2 linked regions of the Xenopus tropicalis genome follow. The protein of the gene in region 1 interacts with the protein of each later gene in a biochemical or structural test. Links are inferred from orthologs where the notes say so. Each region holds a gene or a part of one and is shown in the gene's direction. Other genes may lie near its edges. The genes, in order: ppfia1 and git1.

Region 1 (3,830 bases):
ATTTAAATGGTTTTTAGTAGACTTAAGGTATGGAGATCCAAATTTCAGAAAGATCCTTTACCTGCAAAACCCCAGGTTCCGAGCATTCTAAATAACAGTTCCCATACCTGTACTTGAAGCAGCAGCCAAAAACTATTGCTCTGTGGGTAGACAGATTTATTGTTGTTACTTTTCATAACTTACTTTTCTATTCAGGTCCTTTCCTGAAGTCTCTCATTCAAACCACTCCCTGGTTGCTAAGGTCATTTGTACCCTAGCAACCAGATAGCTGTTGAACTAAAATTGAAAAACTACAGATAATAAAAAAAATGAAGACCAATTGCAAATTCTTAAGTTATTACGCTCTACATCAAACGATCTATGTGTAAAGCATTTTTATTCAGGCTTCCTGTAGCCTTAGGTCTCATTTATTCAAGCATGTTAATTAGCCTTATTATGTTGGACTGAGTGAATTCTATTCCAATTAAAGGTGTGGTGTAATTCATTACTTTTCTGTGTTATACTAAAGCCGGCTATACACCTAAGGTCTGCTTAATTTGGTATAAAGGATCCCCATTAATGGCAGCACAAAGTGCTCCGAGAAGGATTTTATTACATGAAACTCCTTCTGGTGCAGGTCAGGGGCTTCTTTTCATTGTATTAATGCTTTATTGATTTTTTAGTAGACTTAAGATATGGAGATCCAAATTACAGAAAGACCCCTTCTCCTGAGCATTCTGGATAACGGCTCCTATATCTAGAATGCTCAGGAGAAGGGGTCTTTCCGTAATTTGGATCTCCATATCTTAAGTCTACTAAAAAATCAATAAAGCATTAATTAAACCCAACAGGATTATTTTGCATCCAATAAGGATTATTTATATCTAGGTTGGGATCAAATACAATGTTCTATTTTATTATTACAGAGAAAAGGGAATCATTTAACCATTAAATAAACCCAATAGTACTGTTCTGCCCCAATAAGGGGTAATTATATCTTAGTTGGGATCAAGTACAGGTACTGTTTTATTATTACAGAGAAAGGGGAATCATTTAACCATGAAATAAACCCAATAGGGTTGTTCTGCCCCCAATAAGGGGTAATTATATCTTAGTTGGGATCAAGTACAGGTACTGTTTTATTATTACAGAGAAAAGGGAATCATTTAACCATTAAATAACCCCAATAGGACTGTTCTGCCCCAATAAGGGGTAATTATATCTTAGTTGGGATCAAATACAATGTTCTGTTTTATCATTACAGAAAAACGGGAAATCCATTTTAAAAATCTGATTAAAATGGAGTCTATGGGAGACAGGCTTTCCGTAATTCTGGATAATGGATTTCCGGATAACGGATTCCATACCTGTATATAATGGGAAGGTCCCTGATTACCATATATACCTGGCTGTTTTATATTCTCCTAATTACTGGGTTAAAAAAATGTAGCAGAGGCCAAAGCGACAGACCTAAAGAAAAGTGATTCTGCTACATTGTTGCAGGAGTCAGAACCAGAGAAGAGAAAGGAAACAAGCTAGCTCTTTTCTGTAATGTTGTAGATGGGATATCCAATTTAGTTACCTGAAACTACTCTTTTGACTGTCTAAGGGATTGTGTGAGTTGCAGTTCAGCAGCAGCTGTGCGGAGTCTGGTTAGATAACCCTGCTGTGAGTACTGTAAGCAGTCTGGGTGATCTATATGGCTGTCTGTTGTGTAAATATCAGCTTTTACTTCCCTTTTATGCCACGGATTTCAGATCACTCAACACCCATCCCTGCTTTGGTTTTATCAGCTGTTACACAGGGCTGGGTGTTTCTCTAGTCTGACACCTTAGCAGGAAAACATGTCAACACAGCCGTGCAACAGGACCTGGTTCAGAGTTTGTGGCTAAACACGAGCGTGTTCGTTACCTGCTTATTACTGCTTATTGCTTGCTATGTCAGGCGTGGATTTGATCTTATGCCAATGAATGTTCATTAAAGGCGACCAATCGGCTAATTGATTTCTCCTTCCTTTCCACAGATGATGTGTGAAGTGATGCCAACAATTAGCGAGGCTGAGATGCCATCCGGGGGCAATGGAGGCCATGGCTCCGGGTCTCCTTTACAGGCAGACTCCGATTCTCATTTTGAGCAGCTTATGGTGTCCATGTTGGAGGAAAGAGACCGACTGCTCGACACACTGCGGGAAACCCAGGAATCTCTAGCATTGAGCCAGAGCAAGTTCCAGGAAGCCAGCCATGAGCGGGACTCTCTCCAGAGGCAGCTGAACACGGCCCTTCCGCAGGTACAAGGCTTTTTTGGGGTGTTTTTACCCTTTGTATCAGTTTGTATTTGTTTATGTGACTAAATATATGTGTGTGTGTGTATATATCTATTGTTAAAGGGGAACTACAGAAATGTGTTAAAGACACTACACATAAAACCCTAATGTACTTATCACTGTAATCTGTTCCCTTAAAAAGAATGAATAAATTCCATTTTTATATGCTGAAATCCAGGTGCAAAACACTTCCTCTCTTCCTGCATCATCTGAAATCCTTTCAGGGGAGGAGGGACTAAAACACTGATGTTACAAATTGTAACAGCTTACAGACAGTATGCAAAGACTACATTACCCACAATGCATTGCACCGTGATGTTCCTTTCCTTGTTGACATGACTTGTGCAGGGAATTGTGGGATTGTGAGGATACAGGCTGAGAACAGGTGACTACTGTTACATTTTATTTGAGTCTCAAAGTAGTCAGCCAGATCAGCAGGGGAACAGGGGGCGGGGCTTAGGGAACTGTTCCAATCCCTATTATTACATTAGACATTATGAAAAGGCTGCGTATTTTTTTATTCATGTATATTACAAAGTTGCTTCAAATTATGTTTGTTTCGAAAAGTTGTGTTTGGGTGAGTTCCCCTTTAATTGGAAAATCTCACCTGCCTGAAGATAACTGAGGGTCCAGTGTTCTAAAATACCACAGTTTGGGAAGTGCTGTCCTAAAGAGTAGAATACAGAGTAGCAATACTCCAGCCAATAGAACCACTGCCCTACTTTATTGTGATTTTTGTGACTAATGCTGAGCTGGTTGGTCGGTTTGTACCTGTGACTGGTGGGTACTGGGTTCTGAAAGCTTCCCAGTGCTTGTATAGAGCCTGTTATATGTTTGAACTGGGATTGGGAGGACTTTTGTGCATGTCAAGAAGAAGCTGACAAGGCAAGTAACACTGACATTGTGCTTACTGCGTCTTCCTCTGGGCTTCTGCTGATGTGCTGTATTGCATACACTGTACATTGTAGCTGAGCAGATTTTTGTGCTTTAGGCTCTAAATTCTATCCAGCGTGTTCTAGCCAGTGTGTTTTAGAGCTTGTCTGGCAAAGGGTGTTCAGCTGATTCTTCGGCCCATGTATTCAATATCTGGCCGAATACATTGCAAGGGTACCCCTCGTTGATTGGTTTGTTCAGCAGATGCCTTGGCTGGATCATTTTTTGCCTAGTGTGGCCCTTCAGAATATTATAACTGGTGTCTTTTTTGGGGATTTCCTTTACAGATGGAACCTAATGAATTGTACTGGCACATTTATTAAAGTGTGTAAGCCAACATCACAGAGGATGTTGCCCATAGCAACCAATCAGCAATTAGATTTTAACAGTCACCTACAAGTTAGAAAACAAAAGCAAAGATCTGATTGGTTGCTGTGGGCAACATCACCGGCGATGTTGGCTTACACACTATAAATATGCCCCTTAGTGTGCTTGTTTTTGGTTACCCTTGGGTATATACCGTGTTGTTGCATCTACACTCCTTTCAGGCCACCAACTGTTTATTTATGTATTTGTAGCTTTTTTTTTTTTTTTT
Region 2 (3,643 bases), on another chromosome or scaffold:
TTATATATATATATATATATATATATATATATATATATATATATATAATATATATATAATATATATATATATATATATATATATATATATATATATATATATTAGAAGAACTAAAGAACTAATAAGAGCACAAGTAATCAAGCAATAGAAAATGAGGGCAGAAAAGTATTTGTGTATCTGTGTGGATGTAACTAGTTCCCAGTGATGTAGAAGACATGGATCCCCTATGCAGTTGGCCAGTGACTCTCTAACCTCCACTGTATTTTCTCCTGTGTTTGTGGCAGAAACCTGCCCTGGAGACAGTGCGATCATCACTGCGGCTACTGAACGCTAGCGCCTACCGACTGCAAAGTGAGTGCCGCAAAACCATCCCGCCAGAACCTGGGGCCTCTGTGGACTTCCAACTTCTGACACAGCAGGTCATCCAGTGCGCTTATGACATCGCAAAAGCTGCCAAACAGCTGGTCACCATCACCACCCGCGAGAAGAAGCAGTGACCACTCCAGCAGCCAACTGGCATTTCCATTTCCAAACTGTCAATTTGCAATCAATTTTGCTATCCTTTCATATTTCACACATGACTCCGAGGGGCGGGCACAGCCCGTCACCCCTCTAACCCTAGGAATTGGCTTCCTACATTCCACAATAGCTGGATGAAATGTGCAGCCCCATAACCCCCCTGTATATGTGCAATACTGACCTTGCTCTGTACCATCCTACTGTCTGTACTCTCTGGTTGGACGTTCCTAACAAACGCTAAACGCTGAAGGAATATAATGATTGCAATATAAGTACAGTCCTGTGTGTTCTCCTATTGTAAAGATTTGGGCCTGGGTGAAATTCTCTCCCCATCACTATCATCATATGTAGCAGAACAGAGTATACAGTACAAGTGGTTCTCACAGTACAGGTGGATCAGGTTCCATAATGTACTTGTGTGCAACTGCAGCTAGAATATGTCACCCCAAGCCCCACAGAGCTGTAACCAGCGCCTTTTATTTAAGTTTAAAGGTGCAATCATAGAGTTCCAGAATAGCACAATTTCCTTTTATAGTCTTTCATATTTCCTTGTTCTGATAGTGGTTTGAAGAGACTAATATGTAATCTGTGCTGTAGGATATGACGCGTGTGATTGAAGCTGTGTTGTGGGGCTGCATATTTTGGCACCCTTTAGCTGTGACCAGGCAGCACCCTGAGGCAGGAGGCATCATGACTATGTACTATGCAGCAAATAGACAGCAGCTAAAGGTGCACATTGTATGTTCCCCAGTCTGTTTGCTCTAGAGCAGGGCCCATGCATAGCCTGTGTCAGGCAGCCAATCACATACACTTCCCTGGCACCAAGCAGGGGGCAGCACTCATCCATAGGTGGCAGTTACATGCGCCATGCTGCAAACACTAGGCAAAGCACAAGACTCATGCTGAGCCGGACATGCATTCGCTCCAGCACTAGAGCAGCCAGTCCTTACCATGCAGTGCCGCAGATTGTTATTAATGTGATCAAGGCCAATGCTAAACATACACTGGAATCAATGCGTGTGTATATATATGAATATATACATATAATATTTACTAAGCATTTTTTATGTGAACAGTAGGGGGATTGATGTTGGACGACTGTTAAATAATTGATATGATAACCACTTTAATGTTTTACTCTAAAGAGTAGCACAACGGCAATGCTCAGAGTGGCCAGAAATATAACTTGATGTTTGCACTGACTTCTTAGGCACCCTGTGGCAGACAGGCCCCTACCCTAACCCTGCCTCCTCCCCGGATGTCTATGTATCAAAATCATGTATATTATATATATATATATATATATATATATATATATTGCCTGCTGACGTGAAGTACAATGTAAGGCTCAGTATCCCACTGGCAGTGCTGCTCCAATGGATTTTATGCTTGCCGTATCCTTGGGGCCTGCACTTAGTGTGGGAGTCGCAACATTTTACCTATTGCCGTAAGTAATGTTACCAGTGTCTGCCATAGATACAGCCGCTGGCAGAGACCTTACACTTCTATTGGGTAGAATCCACACACCAACTGAATTTTTTTTTTTTTAAATTAATTTTAAACCCCCACAAGCTGACCAATTATTACCCTGGAAATGACTCATATAATTTGTATCCTGAATTTCACATTCAGATGAAAAATTATCCACTTTCATTAGTAGATTGGCTTTGTAGGAATGCTTGCCTTTGCCAAAACAAGGGATGCCAACCTGTGGCTTTTTCGCTGTAATGGATTGCAGCTCTTGGCAGCCATATTTGATACTGGCAGAGGGCACAGGTTGCACAGTCCCGGTATAATGCCTTATGGAAATCTCTTTACACAGAAGATGGAAATACATAAAAACAAAGCAGCTGTGGCGAGATATAGACCCTGCTGCTGCCAAGTAGAAGTCACTTATATTTTTGGAGATCGTTATGTTTTTGTAAGAAGGGGGCAAAATAAAAAGCTAGATTAAATGGAATAAGAGTGTAGATTCCTCAATTCTCTGTTTCTGTGTGTCACTTTCTGTGCCAAAAAACATGCAAGCAGATGCCCTTTTTTTTTATTATGGCAAGGACTAGTAACGTTGTCTTTTATTCTATGTTAGTGGCCAAAAGTCTATTGCTCTTTACAGCAAATGCCCCTTTGCATTCTTTGGAAAGCCGTAAGGAGCTAAATGGACTGTAAAGGACAGAAAAAGGACCTCATACATGAAGCCATCTTTTCATATTGGCTAGATCTTTCCGGAATAATGTTGCTGTTGGGTTAGCGCCGTAAGGTTAGACTAAAGGTAGTTTGGGCATTGAATGTGAGCAGCGGTCCTGCTGTTCCATCCGCGCGTATCTGCAAGCTTTGTTCTTACACAGTAGGCAAAATGATTGTACTTCTTACAAGATGCTCCCAGAAGCCACTACATGAGAGGGACCCGCTGCCACCCACTGATCTTGCTGGGGATTTGTATTTTAAAAAACCTGCTGCTCAGAATCTCTCAGCTCCCCCCTTGCCGTACTTGTTCATACAGATTAGTGCAAAATGGCCGACCTTCTCCATCCTGTTATTTGTGAGAGCTTGGTGGTGGGTGTAATGTATAAAATTGCTCATATTGTACATTTGTATCAAATTAAACAACTAACAATGGAATGTGTCCCATGGAGTCTGTTATAAGCTGAATTCTTGGAGATTGATCTCTTGGATGGTATTGGTGAAATAAATGGATAAATTGCATTTCACCACATGCCAGTCTGATGGAAAAGTTTGGGTCTAGCAGATGCCAGGGGAACACTACCTGCCTGAATGCATCATGCCAATTGGAAATGGTTGGTGGAGGAGGAGTAATGGTCTGGGGCTGATTTGTTGGTTTTGGCTAGGTCTCTGTTCCAATTATAGAAAACCTAACTCTACAGGTGAATATAGACATTCTAGACCAGTGCTGTCCAACTTCTGCGGTGCCGATGGCCGGAATTTCTCTTGCATACATGGTGGAGGGCCGCTAATGGAAGCCAGTTTTGGCCACGCCCCCGTTTTAAACCACACCCACTTCAAACCACACCCATTTTATCACAATGGGATATCAACCATCATTCATATGTTAAAGAATTATGTCATATTAAGACACACCCTTACATCCATATGCCTCCTCCTCCCC

The links.
Region 2: the proteins of ppfia1 (region 1) and git1 form a complex in vitro, tested with the Homo sapiens proteins (2 studies listed by BioGRID). The link is inferred for Xenopus tropicalis from reciprocal best matches to the Homo sapiens genes PPFIA1 and GIT1.

Annotation. Positions count from the first base shown.
Region 1 is NC_030680.2:14,493,377-14,497,206, forward strand, and holds part of ppfia1 (liprin-alpha-1), read left to right. Parts: intron 1-2,002; coding exon 2,003-2,266; intron 2,267-3,830. UniProt on the Homo sapiens protein: May regulate the disassembly of focal adhesions. May localize receptor-like tyrosine phosphatases type 2A at specific sites on the plasma membrane, possibly regulating their interaction with the extracellular environment and their association with substrates.
Region 2 is NC_030678.2:32,819,656-32,823,298, forward strand, and holds the end of git1 (ARF GTPase-activating protein GIT1), read left to right. Parts: intron 1-284; coding exon 285-497; 3' UTR 498-3,138; downstream 3,139-3,643. UniProt on the Homo sapiens protein: GTPase-activating protein for ADP ribosylation factor family members, including ARF1.